2 linked regions of the Arabidopsis thaliana genome follow. The gene in region 1 interacts genetically with each later gene. Each region holds a gene or a part of one and is shown in the gene's direction. Other genes may lie near its edges.

Region 1 (7,008 bases):
TATGCCACTGAATCCACAAATATCTTGTCGGTATCGAACTTTTTATTTATTTAGAACAAGAATATCTTGACCAAATGAAATGTGAACCAGGAAAATAAATATACAGTTCATCTTTTTTTTCTTTGAATCTTCTCAATTTGTTGTTTGGATTTTTCTGAGGGTAAGGGCCCATTTCATTTTTAAATTTGTCTGTTAAGAGTAGTTTAAAATCCATGCCTTTAAAAGATTCGACTTGAAAACATACTTAATCGGGAAAGATGCACAATTTTGATCCAAACGCATCTACTAATAATCTATTGACTTCATTAATCTAATCCAAACTCCACGTTCATTGGGTAAATTTTGTGAACAGTTATTATAATAATGGGCCTAGAAACAGTGAGATAATAGGCCATGATCAATATAGATAAATGGGTTACACAAATAATGAATTGTCCCACAGAAGGATGGTTAAAAGTAATGGGCCGAAAATAGTGAGCTAATGGGCCGTGAAAGTAATGATTTGAAAGAGGGGATTACAGAAGCTGACGATGGATAAGTCTTTTCTGGATAAAACGCTCTTCTTCTTCTCTTCATCCTCCTTCTGGAGCAGAGCTTAGAGCTCCATCATCAAATCTTATCAATGGCTTCCTCACTCGTCTCATCTTTTCAACCCAGGTACTTTTCATATACTACAAACCATAGAGCTTCTTCATTCCGCTAGGGTTTCGTTTTCTTTACTTGGCATTTTCTACTCAAAAATCTCTATAAACTGTGTTCATGAGCCTCCCAAGTATAAGGAATCTCTTTGAATGGGTTATTTTTATCTTTTTAAATCGATGGCAATGTTGAATTGGTTATGGACTCTTGAAATTGTGGATTTTTATTTTGGGAATTTGAATGTGTTATGCGGAACTCACTGTGTAAAAAGCAGGATTCTAGAGGGGTTTTTAGCCATGGAAACTGAAAGTTCTACAAGAATGTTTCTCTTCCTTAATCTAACGTTATCTTTGTTCCAATAACAGTTTCTGTGTATTGGTTTAGATATATATCTGGTAGAGTTTTACTTTCTTGACATGTTTTATCTGAAGATAGATAGATAACTTCCCCTTTGTTTTAGGTCAGCATTTTTGGGAGATAGAAATGTGTTCAAGGTCTCAAGCACACCTTTTGCTCAAGTGGGTTACTCCAGTAAGACCATTGAGTGCAAAGAATCAAGGATAGGAAAGCAACCGATCGCTGTACCTTCCAATGTAACCATTGCATTGGAAGGTCAAGACTTGAAAGTGAAGGGTCCATTAGGAGAGCTGGCTTTAACTTACCCACGCGAAGTTGAGCTTACAAAGGAAGAATCCGGTTTCTTAAGGGTCAAAAAAACCGTCGAAACTAGAAGAGCCAACCAAATGCACGGCCTTTTCAGGTTACAAACTTCTCATCTTTTCTTGTCATCCAATGAAGTCCTTAACTTTTTTGAGGTTAAAAGATCGTTTGTTCTCTAATCTTTTTTTTTAACTTCTGTGTGACTTTTAGGACGCTTACCGATAACATGGTTGTGGGAGTATCAAAGGGATTTGAGAAAAAGCTTATACTTGTGGGTGTTGGTTATCGTGCAACAGTAGACGGAAAGGAGCTGGTGCTAAATCTCGGGTTTTCACACCCGGTGAAGATGCAGATACCGGATAGTCTGAAAGTGAAAGTGGAAGAGAACACAAGAATCACTGTGAGTGGATACGACAAGAGCGAAATCGGGCAGTTTGCTGCAACGGTTAGGAAGTGGAGGCCACCAGAGCCATACAAGGGGAAAGGAGTCAAGTATTCCGATGAGATAGTTCGGAGGAAGGAAGGAAAAGCTGGAAAGAAGAAATGATCTTCATTTTTCATTATTATCTACTTACTTATCTCTTCCTTTCAATGTTTATGTGTATTTGCTCAAATTTGTTTAGAAATGAAGATGTTTGTGTTGGGATTCTTGAGTAAGTTTTTAAAGGAACCCATTAATTGTTTTTGATGCTCTGACAAAAATTTCTTTAGTGCTTTGATTGAACAAGAACTTGGGCACAAAGTGCCTCATCGGTGTGATTCTATTGTTATGTTTCCTTATTGAACCAAACCAATCCAAATCGGACAAAAATCATGGTAGATAAACTTTTTAAAACAATTTTTTAATCTATTCTTCTTTTTTTTAATTACAAATTTTCTTATTTTCTTATATCTAAAAAATCGTAACAGTAAGATATTAATATCTGTATTCTTAATTTGGTAGATAACTTTTTAAAAAACGAAAATTTCCTATAAGAATAATAATAGTCGGAAATAAAACAAAAAACAATATCATGGTGATTATTCTTATTTGCTTATATCTTCTTCTTTTTCACAATTTTTTTTTAAAAAAAATATTTACAAAATTTTCTTATTTGCTTATATATATAAAAAATCAGTAAGATATTAATATCGATTTTTTAATTTGGTAGATAACTTTTTTCAAACGATAAATTTCCTAAAAACAATAAAATATTCGGAAATAAACAAAAACCCTGATTGAAGAAAAGTCTTTTTGTTTATCAGTTCACCGGAGGCAAAAATCGTCTCTCGCTTGAGCTGCGAAGATGCAAGCAGTAAAAAGATCCAGGAGACATGTTGAAGAAGAGCCAACAATGGTAGAACCTAAAACCAAGTACGATCGTCAGCTCAGGTATACATACTCTTTTTCCTTAAACTCTACTTCGAACTACTCTTGTCGGGAGGAAAATTGATGAAGTAGTAATCGTTGGGTTGACTGATTAGGATTTGGGGGGAGGTAGGTCAAGCGGCCTTGGAAGAAGCGAGTATCTGTTTACTCAATTGTGGCCCTACTGGTTCCGAGGCTTTGAAGAATCTCGTACTTGGTGGTGTTGGTAGCATCACCGTTGTTGATGGATCTAAGGTTCAATTTGGTGACCTTGGGAACAATTTCATGGGTACTGACTAATTTTGAAACTTTTTGATTGTGTTTCTTCTGGGGGTTTTGGGGGACTTGCTTGCGTTATGATGATTTTTTTTTTTCATGTGAAGTCGATGCGAAGAGTGTTGGCCAATCAAAAGCCAAATCTGTTTGTGCGTTTCTCCAAGAGCTTAATGATTCTGTTAACGCCAAGTTTATTGAGGAGAATCCAGACACGTTGATTACTACTAACCCATCTTTCTTCTCTCAGTTCACTCTCGTTATAGCCACTCAGGTACCATTGTTTTTCTATTTGTAATCTTCTCTAATGATTTGTGTGTTACAATTTTTCAAAGTTCTAATCTTTGCTTACACAGTCACTCACCATGGATCATGATACCTTCTATTCAATGTTCTTTAGTTAGTTTCTCATATGTACTTTTCCTCGTCCTCTTCACGGGATATTGCTTTATTAGGCTTCTTTTTCCTGTGTTATTGTTATTTAAGTTCGTTATTTCATCCCCTTTTCGACATTGATTGGTTGCAGCTGGTGGAAGATTCAATGTTGAAACTTGATAGAATCTGTCGAGATGCAAACGTTAAGTTGGTTTTGGTTCGCTCTTATGGCCTTGCTGGGTTTGTTCGCATCTCTGTAAAGGTAATTAATACCACCTGTCTAGACCCAATTTGTGATAAAGTTTAGATTACTTTGTGGTATGCCGTGGTTAGGATATTGGCCAATGAGAATATATGCTAAGCTCTCTTCTTTTCTTTTTTATCAGGAGCACCCCATAATTGACTCAAAACCTGATCATTTTCTTGACGACCTCCGCCTGAATAATCCATGGCCTGAACTCAAGAGGTCCACTGCTCTCATATCCTCTCACTTTATGTTGTTCTGGCATCCTTTAACATTATGGTTGTGGATGGACGACTGAGTACTTACTGATATTCTTAATTATTTAATGAACGGCAGTTTTGTGGAGACCATTGATCTGAATGTATCAGAGCCGGCCGCTGCACATAAGCACATACCTTACGTCGTCATTCTTGTAAAGATGGCTGAGGAGTGGGCTCAATCCCATAGTGGTAATCTTCCCTCAACCAGGGAAGAGAAAAAAGAGTTTAAGGTTTAGTTCTTTTTTGTAACTTATAAAATTTATTAGCGAGCTTGCTTTCTTGTTTTAATTATCTATATCCTTGAATTCTTAGGATTTGGTTAAGTCCAAGATGGTATCTACGGATGAAGATAACTACAAAGAAGCCATTGAAGCCGCTTTCAAAGTTTTTGCTCCTCGAGGAATCAGTAAGTAGATATCTTGTTTGGTCTAGGTAGAAACTTGACTTAGAATGTTTACTGTTTCCATGGTTGAGTTAATAGGTGTAGCGATTGTTGATATTGGAGCTAAACTAACAGAAAGCTCTGTCACGGGTCAAATCACAGTATTCTTCATGTTGAACCAAACCTGTTTTCTCTTCCAGGCTCAGAGGTTCAAAAATTAATTAATGATAGTTGTGCTGAAGTGAATTCAAACTCCTCAGCTTTTTGGGTGATGGTAGCGGCTCTGAAGGTTTGAAACTTGAAACCTGCTCTGCCAGAACTCATAATTTTATGTTCATTTAGGAAGTGCAAACTGCAACTCATTTTGATTGAAATCATAATCGTACATAACCACCTGCAGGAGTTTGTTTTAAATGAAGGTGGTGGAGAGGCACCCCTTGAAGGTTCTATACCAGATATGACCTCTTCAACAGAGTTAGTGCACTTGCCTCTATGGCACTGAAATTCACCCTCAGTCTATTTTTCACATTGGTTATGTAGCTGTATGGTTTCTCTTTGCAGACACTATATCAATTTGCAGAAAATCTATTTAGCCAAAGCCGAGGCTGATTTTCTTGTCATTGAGGAACGAGTTAAAAACATTTTAAAGAAAATCGGTCGAGATCCGAGCAGCATCCCAAAACCAACAATCAAGAGCTTCTGCAAGAATGCAAGGAAACTTAAAGTGAGTATACTAAACTTCCTAACATGTTTAATTTGTTTTCTAATGTCAACGTTTTACCTATTGCTTGTTTACTTTTTCTTCGGAGCATTATCAGAAACATATGATTTGAGTAAAGCATAAACCATAATCCGTCCTTTGTAGTTGTGCAGATATCGTATGGTAGAGGACGAGTTCAGAAATCCTTCTGTAACTGAAATTCAAAAGTATTTAGCGGACGAGGATTACAGGTGCGAATTTTCCCTTTTCATATGAGTACAAAAACATCAGATGATTTGAAAGATGACCTTTCTACAAAATGTTCACTCTTTTGTCTGTCTCATACATGCCATAAGATGTTGTGATTGAATATTGCAGGAGCATTTTTTCAAAACTGCATAATTTACTGTATAAGCTATTCATTTAGTTGACCTGAGCTAACCAAACTTTTTAGTTCATCTTAGGCTTACACAGCAGAAAAAATAGATTCTGGATTTAGTTCAAAATTTTTCTAGGCTTGCATGTTTAGCTCTTATACTTAAATATTGTTACTGTCGCAGTGGTGCAATGGGATTTTATATTCTTCTTAGAGCTGCGGACAGATTTGCTGCCAACTATAACAAGTTTCCTGGGCAGTTTGATGGGTAAGAAATTCATTATGGCACTAAGCTTAATCTTTATTTTTGAACAATGGGTCCTTGTTTGGCTATTAACATGCAATACATTTTGGTAGAGGAATGGATGAGGACATTTCTCGATTAAAAACTACTGCCTTGAGTCTTCTTACCGACTTGGGCTGTAACGGCTCAGTACTCCCAGATGACCTTATCCATGAGATGTGTCGCTTTGGTGCCTCAGAGATTCATGTGGTTTCTGCCTTTGTTGGAGGAATCGCATCTCAAGAAGTCATCAAGGTTCGATTCATATTTCTTTCTCATTGTTTCAAATTCAGTTAGTCTTATGGGGAAGTCGCTAGCTTCTGGACATGCTTAACGAGGTAATTGAATATGTAGTTGTCTCTTTCTATCTTTGTTTGCAGCTTGTCACAAAGCAGTTTGTTCCGATGTTGGGGACTTACATCTTCAATGGCATTGATCACAAGTCTCAGTTATTGAAATTGTAGAAGATCTTTCCTTAACACATTGGCTTGAAACAGAGAGAAAGAGCTCTATCATATATTATTCTTCTGATTAAAAGATAATCTTTTTGCTACTACTGAGAAACAAAATTTTCAATGACAGTTCAGCTGAGACCATCCGACTCAGAATCTTCGAAAATCTTGCTTTGCTTTGTCCTTGAGGTTAGAAATATTTGAAGGTTAAATGAAGCTAATCTCATAAAATGGGCCACTGTAAGCCCATTCTACACGGGAGTCACATAAAATGGGCCACAGTTAGCTCATTCTCCATGAGTCTCATAAAAAGGGACACAGTAAGCCCATTCTCCACATGATTCTAGTCGGCAAAAGGTTTAATGAGATGATTTCTGCAAATCATACAAACGACAAGAATTTGCATTACGTTAACATCAAAGCTCAAAAGTTACTCTCAATAAAATGGGGTCCAAGAATAAGATCAATCAAAATATAATATTAAAATTGTCTAAAAAGTTAATGGGCATCAAAGAATTAATAACATCAAGAACCACAAATCCAATTTAGGGATTTGGGGCAATAAAGACAATTTGAATTGGGTGGTGTAGGGTTATTATGGCAAATGCATGAATAATAGAGGCCATTGAAGCTCGGTGGGTTTCACTTGTTACTACCATGACATTTCGTTTTCGATATAAAAGTATCAATTATACCCTTTTTCTTATGCATTTGTTTAAATATGTACTGTAGTATATAAATATATATAATGTATAAACACATGAGAGGTAATATAGTCTTGTGAACTGCTAATGTCGAACGCAGCCGACATAGCGTATGTCGTTTCCATCTACATTACGTTTGAATTTTGTGAACAGCATTTGACAAAAGAAAAGCACTAATGATGCGAAACGAATCTTTTAATATCATATCTAAATCAATCATCACCCTTAAAACATAGTCTGAGATAGAACTTTGGTAACGCATTATGCTAATGACACACACTAGCGGTATGAACTTAATTTAAAAGTTAAGAT
Region 2 (8,798 bases), on another chromosome or scaffold:
TTTCGTTGTGCTCTATTCAACGGGACAAGGTCATGGAAGGTGTAGTAGCTAAGTTAACCCTAATGTCAGGATCGTAGTAGCTTCTCTGCAGTCTGCGAATATTGTCTCCATTCACTGTTTAGGAAAAACCAAGTGGGCCAATGACTGTAGTAACTTTTTAAAACAAAGGATTTTTAACCAAATCCATTTCGTTTAGTTGGACAAAATGATTAATTAGGATAATAAAAAGTAGGGTAGGTTTTGTTTTCAACAAACGGGCAAAATCACCGACGTGACTTTCGGTTAACAAACAGATTCGATTCTTGAAATTAGTTTAGGTGAAAATAATTCAGAAATAAATTTTCTTCTACGCATGAGTAAAAAAAATATATATTACATTTCCAAAATAAACGTTTTTAGTCCAAAAAAAAAAATGTCAGAGTGATAGAAAACAGGAAAGATGACTATGAAAATCCACCTTCATTGTTAGTGTTACATGGTTATTTCAAGGGTTTTGATCAACGACATAATCCATTGTTTTTAGGCTTTTTCAGGTGAAACCATAGTTAAAAGTTTTTTTTTTCACTATTATGATGAGAGTGGAGTTCTTTTTTTGCATACGTATTACACATAATTAAAAAGATTATATGACAATATTGTTAAGCCGTTATAATCAATCAGCTACTATATGCCCTTTATTTTGCTAATTATCTCAAAAAAAATCATAGAGAAGTTGCACTCGTCATTGTACTCTTGACATTTACTAATTAAAAGATTTCTTCTGCATAAGAAAATGAGGAGACAATTTAAATTTGGATCTCTAGAGGCGTGATTAAAGCAGTTCTTTCCCACAAAAGATGGCTTTCATTATATTATACTACTATTTAATTTCCGTACCACAGTGTCTTACTCTGACTCTGATTTTATTTCTTTTTAATTAAATAATCACATAAATAATTCACTATCACGACTTTCGTTTTTCCATTTAAATTAAACTAAACCGGTTAGATTCGTTTTTCTTCACCAGGTTAATGTGAACCCCAATTTTTCTATTTTGTTAATGATGTTTTATAATTGTGATTAATACAATTAGAAAATATCTAATAATTAAAGTTGAGACCATAATTAAAGGAAAGGGAACTATTGTGTGAACATATATATATTCTTACACACTCGCAGAGCAACCCTTCTTCACTTGGGCTCATTGGAATGTGATATCCCAAAAAGAAAAGGCAAAACAAACTACTACTAAAAAAGTTGAGATAGTAAAAATACAATTGTACTTTATCATATAATAATTCAATGTACAACAAAACTCAACTACCAAAGTTTGCTTATTACTCTCAAAGAAAAAAACACTGATTAAAAATAGCAAAAGAGATTTGTTTATCTATATGAAAAATAAACTTATATAGAAATTCTTATATGATTAGTTGCAATTGTAGGTGTAACATTTAATCGTTGATTTGTTTTTTTTTTTGGGGTGCATTTCTCTTGTAGTTGTAACAATATTTCACACTTAAGACTTTCAGACAATAGTTTAAAAACAACCGAACAGAAGTTGCAGGTACCTATAACTTGTGTATGAATCCATCCACAGTTTTGTAAACGTTGACTGTTTGACATTTTGAATGTAATTTTATTTAATTAGATCCTACACAACAATAATCACATCTATAATTTGCCAATACATTTTAATAAAACCACTTAACAAAATGGTTTTAACTTTTAATCCAGTAATTTTCTGTAGTTGGTGTCATGATTTATAACTACTGTACACATTTCCAAGATCTAACGAACAATCATAATCGATAATAATTGTACCTACCAAATTTGGTCTAAAAAAATAGAAGAAGTGATTATATATATATTCTTTTTTGTTTTTGATGCTAAATATTTTTTTTTTAATGTGATTATCGTTTATCATTGCACCTCACGGTAATTATTATTGTTTTTCCCTGATTTTATAAAAAAGATATATAGAGAGATTATTGAGACCAATGAAGAGCAGAAACTGTTGGGAGTCAAAAAAAACTTATCTCCAATTTCTAACAGTGTTCTATGTCGGATTCCATCAATCTCTCTCTCTTCCATCATCTGTCACTTTCTTTGTTTTCTACGCAACAAGAAACCGAAGAAAAAAAAATAACAATTTACTAAAGTATTAATTCCTTTTTTTGTGTGACAAAATAAAAACCCACTAAAAAGCAAACGATTCCAAGAACATGGAAACAAATGTGTAAAAAGGAAATAAAAACATCAAGCGTGGGCTGAAAATCACTACACGAAAATCCAAATTTTGGTAATTCTATTAAATTTTTTAAGTTGGTAATAAAGAGAATAAATACACAAATTGACTGGCCAGTACACAAGTTGACTGATTAATCGCAAATTATACATAATTAATAATTAAAAAACGGTAAAAAACGTTAATAAATAAGGAAATAAATCAAAACAAATGAAGAGTGGGATTAGTAAAGTATTAAAGAAAGCATATAGAGCGGAAGAAAACTGAAGATGGAAGATTATAAAAATAAGTGTTGTGAAGAAGAAGCTATTCGATTTTTATAGTCTTGAGTTTTATTTTATTTTAATAAGAAAACAAAATAAGATTTTTAAAAAATAGTATATTATTTATTTATTAATTTTCTTCAGGGCTGTTGTGGTTTTTGAGGTTCTCTATAAAGCAAAGTAAGAAAACATCTACACAAATGTCCCAACAATCTGATCAGAAAAAAGTAGACGAAGAAGAAGAAATTAAGTCACTTGAACAATGGCGTTGGTCCGAAATGCAAGGCCTTGAGCTTCTCCCTCATAACACCAACAACAACTCACGAAGCTCCAGAGAAACTCACCGGAAATGGATAATGACGGTGGTGCTCCTCCTCCTCCGCCGACACTAGTGGTGGAAGAGCCTAAGAAAGCAGAGATTCGTGGAGTTGCTTTTAAAGAGCTATTCAGATTCGCCGACGGATTAGATTATGTATTGATGGGAATTGGCTCTGTTGGTGCTTTTGTCCATGGCTGCTCTTTACCTCTGTTTCTTCGATTCTTCGCCGATCTTGTTAATTCCTTTGGTTCTAATTCTAATAACGTTGAAAAGATGATGGAAGAAGTTCTCAAGGTACTAACTTTATTTCTTTCTCTTCATCTTCAATCTTTGAAAACACTAACTTGTTTTTGGTTATTGCAGTATGCGCTTTACTTTTTAGTGGTTGGTGCTGCAATCTGGGCTTCCTCTTGGGCAGGTTAGAAGAAAGTTACTTAAAGATCTAAACTTTTATACTGTTCTCTTGATCTGATTCGGTTTTAAATATGGTTTCGTTGTTGCAGAGATTTCGTGTTGGATGTGGAGTGGAGAGAGACAAACAACGAAGATGAGGATTAAGTATTTAGAAGCAGCTTTGAATCAAGACATTCAGTTCTTTGATACAGAAGTTCGAACTTCAGATGTTGTCTTCGCCATTAACACCGACGCTGTTATGGTTCAAGACGCCATTAGTGAGAAAGTAAGAATCTTCAAATTCTTAGTCTTTTTGTTTCTTCTTCCTTATCTGATCTGTTTTTTTTTGGGAATCTCAGCTTGGTAATTTCATCCATTACATGGCGACTTTTGTTTCTGGATTCATCGTGGGTTTCACTGCGGTGTGGCAACTAGCTTTAGTGACTCTCGCGGTGGTTCCGTTGATTGCTGTGATCGGAGGAATTCACACCACTACTCTCTCTAAACTATCTAATAAGAGTCAAGAGTCTCTTTCACAAGCTGGTAATATCGTCGAACAGGTAGAGTGCACAAATCCCTAGAAATAAATAAATAAAGTTTCTATTTTTGTCAAATCCAGTAATCATCAGATCATTCTATCATCTGGTTTTTTTTTGGGTCTGATTCAATTTCTGAAAAAAATGGCAGACAGTGGTACAAATCAGGGTAGTGATGGCTTTCGTTGGAGAATCAAGAGCTTCACAAGCTTATTCATCAGCTTTGAAGATTGCTCAGAAGCTTGGTTACAAAACAGGTTTAGCTAAAGGAATGGGACTTGGTGCTACATACTTCGTTGTCTTTTGTTGTTACGCTCTCTTGCTTTGGTACGGTGGTTATCTAGTTCGCCACCATTTGACCAACGGTGGTCTCGCTATTGCCACAATGTTCGCCGTTATGATTGGTGGATTGTAAGCAACTCTTTGCTCTTCTCTGTTCATCACTCTTGTTATCATTTGGTTTGATATTGGTTTGTTGATGGTGATGAGTTTTTTTATTTTTGTTTAAAGGGCATTGGGACAATCAGCACCGAGCATGGCTGCATTTGCCAAAGCAAAGGTTGCTGCTGCAAAGATCTTTAGAATCATTGATCACAAACCAACGATAGAGCGTAACAGCGAGTCCGGTGTGGAGTTAGACTCAGTCACGGGTCTTGTCGAGCTTAAAAATGTGGACTTTTCGTATCCGTCAAGGCCAGATGTTAAGATTCTTAACAACTTCTGCCTCTCTGTTCCTGCTGGGAAGACCATTGCTTTGGTTGGGAGCAGTGGTTCAGGAAAAAGCACAGTCGTTTCGCTTATAGAGCGGTTTTACGACCCGAACTCAGGTTAACAATCTTAACATTCTGTTACATTTCAAGCTGTTTTGTTCGAGCATTGTTATTTTAATTAACACGGTGTTATCGTCTCTGCAGGACAAGTTTTACTAGATGGGCAAGACCTGAAGACGCTGAAACTGAGATGGTTAAGGCAACAGATAGGGCTAGTGAGTCAAGAACCTGCATTATTCGCCACTTCTATCAAGGAGAATATACTCTTAGGCCGTCCTGACGCAGATCAAGTCGAGATAGAGGAGGCTGCTCGAGTCGCAAATGCTCATTCCTTTATCATCAAACTACCTGATGGCTTCGACACACAGGTCTGATGGTTTATGTGAATCTGTGTTCTTTTGTTTCTTCAATTATTCATTAGTTTAAGGTATTTTGAAAGAGTCAAAAGAGAGAAGAGGTATGGTCATGGAAAAGCATTTATAACAGAGTAACATGGGTTTGGTCAACAACGCATGTGAGACCCAGACAAGTAGTTTTAGTCATGTGTCTTGATGTTGAATTTTTTTTAGTGTTCATGTGCTTGTTTTTTTTCTTGCTACTTTAACTTGAAAACCAGCAACCACTATTCCAATGGATTTTTAATCCAGATAGACATATGTTTGTTTATACTCATGTGGTAAATGTGAATAATGTCAGGTTGGGGAGAGAGGATTGCAGCTGTCTGGTGGGCAGAAGCAAAGAATAGCGATAGCAAGAGCGATGTTGAAGAACCCGGCGATACTTCTATTAGATGAGGCGACGAGTGCATTGGATTCTGAATCAGAGAAGCTTGTACAAGAGGCTTTGGATCGTTTCATGATTGGAAGGACTACTCTCATCATTGCTCATCGCCTTTCTACCATTCGAAAAGCTGACCTTGTTGCTGTGCTACAGCAAGGAAGTGTCTCTGAGATTGGAACGCATGATGAGCTTTTTTCCAAGGGAGAAAATGGAGTCTATGCTAAGCTAATTAAAATGCAAGAAGCAGCTCACGAAACCGCCATGAGCAATGCAAGAAAGAGTAGCGCAAGGTATACTCTTATTCATTTTGTGTTTGTTTTTTGTTTTGATGATGCTTTTTTTTGGGTTACTGATGTTAATCTATTTGTTGCAGACCGTCGAGTGCTAGAAACTCGGTTAGCTCGCCAATAATGACTCGGAATTCGTCGTATGGAAGATCACCTTATTCACGGAGACTATCCGATTTCTCAACTTCTGATTTTAGCCTCTCCATTGACGCTTCGTCCTACCCAAACTATAGAAACGAGAAGCTGGCCTTCAAGGATCAAGCCAATTCATTCTGGCGACTAGCTAAAATGAACTCTCCAGAGTGGAAATACGCTTTGCTCGGTTCAGTAGGCTCTGTCATTTGTGGCTCCCTTAGTGCATTCTTCGCATATGTCCTCAGTGCAGTCTTAAGCGTCTACTACAACCCGGACCACGAATACATGATCAAACAGATTGATAAGTACTGTTATCTCTTAATCGGTCTCTCTTCCGCAGCACTTGTCTTCAACACGCTCCAGCATTCTTTCTGGGACATTGTGGGTGAGAATCTGACCAAGAGAGTCCGTGAGAAGATGCTGAGCGCTGTACTCAAGAATGAGATGGCTTGGTTTGATCAAGAGGAGAACGAAAGTGCAAGAATCGCAGCAAGATTAGCTCTTGATGCTAATAATGTGAGATCTGCGATAGGAGATAGAATATCGGTTATTGTGCAGAACACAGCACTGATGCTTGTTGCTTGCACTGCCGGGTTTGTTCTACAATGGAGACTCGCACTTGTCCTTGTCGCAGTCTTCCCCGTAGTTGTTGCTGCAACTGTCTTACAGGTTTGTGTTCTTTTAAAGCATGTGCATGCTCTCATTGTTGTTCTTGGATCTGAAACTTTGTCTTGTCTTTTGAACAGAAAATGTTCATGACTGGTTTCTCGGGAGACCTGGAAGCGGCACATGCCAAGGGAACGCAGCTTGCTGGTGAAGCCATAGCTAATGTCAGGACAGTTGCTGCATTTAACTCGGAGGCAAAGATTGTCCGTCTCTACACTGCAAACCTCGAACCACCATTGAAACGATGCTTCTGGAAAGGACAGATCGCTGGAAGTGGTTATGGTGTAGCTCAGTTCTGTCTTTATGCATCTTATGCTCTCGGGCTATGGTACGCATCATGGCTTGTGAAACACGGCATCTCTGACTTCTCCAAAACCATAAGAGTCTTCATGGTTCTGATGGTCTCAGCCAATGGTGCAGCAGAGACACTCACACTGGCTCCTGATTTCATCAAAGGTGGTCAAGCTATGCGGTCTGTTTTCGAACTTCTTGACCGGAAAACCGAGATTGAACCTGATGATCCTGATACCACCCCGGTCCCAGACCGGTTACGTGGTGAAGTCGAGCTCAAACATATCGATTTCTCTTACCCTTCAAGGCCAGACATCCAGATTTTCCGTGACCTTAGCCTTCGTGCTAGAGCTGGCAAAACCCTAGCTCTTGTGGGTCCAAGCGGGTGCGGAAAAAGCTCAGTTATCTCCCTCATCCAGAGATTCTACGAACCTTCCTCAGGCCGAGTCATGATCGACGGGAAAGACATAAGGAAATACAACCTGAAAGCCATAAGGAAACACATAGCCATAGTCCCTCAAGAGCCGTGCTTGTTCGGAACTACCATTTACGAAAACATTGCATATGGACATGAATGTGCGACCGAAGCAGAGATCATACAAGCCGCGACTCTAGCCAGTGCGCACAAATTCATATCCGCGCTACCAGAAGGTTACAAAACGTATGTTGGCGAGAGAGGCGTTCAGCTCTCGGGAGGACAGAAACAGAGGATCGCGATCGCACGTGCCCTCGTGAGGAAAGCAGAGATCATGCTGCTTGACGAGGCTACAAGCGCTCTTGATGCAGAGTCCGAGAGATCAGTCCAAGAAGCATTAGACCAGGCTTGCTCTGGTAGAACATCAATAGTCGTGGCTCATAGGCTATCTACAATCAGGAACGCACACGTGATCGCTGTCATCGATGATGGAAAAGTGGCTGAACAAGGATCGCATTCGCATCTTCTCAAGAACCATCCTGATGGAATCTACGCGCGAATGATACAGTTGCAAAGATTTACGCATACACAAGTGATTGGTATGACGTCAGGTTCAAGTTCTAGGGTTAAGGAAGATGATGCTTAGTACTTACTACTTTGGTCATATAGAAGAAAAAAGAAGGAGAGTAAAAAACAACAAACACCAGAAGATGTTTCTGATAAAAAACTCTACGAACTCATCATTTTCTCTTTTTTTCTTTCTGTTTTGATTTTGGGGTTACTTATTTTTGGAACTACGTTTCAGATTTGATGGTATAGTATTATTATTGTGTATTATCATAATTAATCTAATTTTTCACCTCTGTAATATCCATTTATATGCCATATCAATCTATGAGCCTCTGCCTTTCTAGTGAAGTGAAGAAGGTGATGATGAGAGGTATGTATCTCATAATCATCGAGGCACTTGTTACCATATATATTGGTTTGGTCTTGTTCTAGATTTCAGGATAAGCCTAACTTTTCAATCATGAGATCCGTTCTAAAAGAAATATTATGGTATATGATGAAAATGTAATCTTTTAAGGTTTTTAATTGTATTGGTTAGATGGGTGATGGGTCTCGAATGTTGTGGGTCTATTTTAAAATCTATTGTGTGTACATCATGCTTTTATACTAGATCATGATTAGTAATGTAAGCATATAAATAATTAACTATGACAATATTGTCAAAAAGAATGCTTTAGATGTATAGACACACGAACATACGTGGGGAACAAAATTATGAAGATGAGAAAACAGAAGATGAGAAAAAGAAGATGGGTCCAAAAAGGACATTGAATGAGATGATGAGACCCAAAGCTAAAACAATAATGAAAAAAAGAAAGAAAAGACAACATTTCTTTTGTGTTTATATAACTTTTTATGAACAAAACAATTCTTGACTTCGTTTCTTTGTGCAACACACGCGTGCGACCACACACACATATATGCATATGGGACACACACCATGATGATGATGACTACTTTGTTTTAGCTGTTGAATGCAAATAAATTTGTGTTTAATTATGAACAAACTTGGAAATTATAGTGGTGGAGAAGAAGAAGCACTAGCTCCTCTCGGCACATGTCGTTCACTAATTGAGAAATTCATAGAAGGCCAATAATTTAAGCTACAGTACTGGAATTCCCCACTTTCTATTAATAAAAGTTTAA

The links. A genetic interaction does not mean that the proteins touch.
Region 2: changes in AXR1 (region 1) and ABCB1 impair growth when combined (synthetic growth defect), as found in Arabidopsis thaliana (one study listed by BioGRID).

What each region holds. Positions count from the first base shown.
Region 1 is NC_003070.9:1,497,353-1,504,360, reverse strand, and holds AXR1 (NAD(P)-binding Rossmann-fold superfamily protein), read left to right. Parts: upstream 1-2,407; 5' UTR 2,408-2,585; coding exon 2,586-2,671; intron 2,672-2,763; coding exon 2,764-2,936; intron 2,937-3,030; coding exon 3,031-3,194; intron 3,195-3,446; coding exon 3,447-3,557; intron 3,558-3,681; coding exon 3,682-3,761; intron 3,762-3,875; coding exon 3,876-4,029; intron 4,030-4,111; coding exon 4,112-4,205; intron 4,206-4,381; coding exon 4,382-4,470; intron 4,471-4,581; coding exon 4,582-4,655; intron 4,656-4,742; coding exon 4,743-4,905; intron 4,906-5,046; coding exon 5,047-5,132; intron 5,133-5,441; coding exon 5,442-5,525; intron 5,526-5,614; coding exon 5,615-5,795; coding exon of another isoform or gene 5,796-5,837; exon of another isoform or gene 5,838-5,920; coding exon 5,921-6,004; 3' UTR 6,005-6,247; downstream 6,248-7,008. Other genes in the region: emb2394 (Ribosomal protein L6 family), read left to right, coding at 623-657, 1,100-1,399, 1,510-1,846. UniProt on the Arabidopsis thaliana protein: Regulatory subunit of the dimeric ECR1-AXR1 E1 enzyme.
Region 2 is NC_003071.7:15,499,323-15,508,120, forward strand, and holds ABCB1 (ATP binding cassette subfamily B1), read left to right. Parts: upstream 1-2,403; 5' UTR 2,404-2,839; coding exon 2,840-3,103; intron 3,104-3,172; coding exon 3,173-3,227; intron 3,228-3,312; coding exon 3,313-3,488; intron 3,489-3,561; coding exon 3,562-3,762; intron 3,763-3,889; coding exon 3,890-4,149; intron 4,150-4,248; coding exon 4,249-4,565; intron 4,566-4,652; coding exon 4,653-4,876; intron 4,877-5,204; coding exon 5,205-5,578; intron 5,579-5,661; coding exon 5,662-6,379; intron 6,380-6,456; coding exon 6,457-7,728; 3' UTR 7,729-8,179; downstream 8,180-8,798. UniProt on the Arabidopsis thaliana protein: Brassinosteroid exporter that, in conjunction with ABCB19, supports the accumulation of exogenous brassinosteroids (BR) in the apoplast, thus promoting BR signaling initiation involving the specific receptor BRI1 and required for plant growth and stress responses.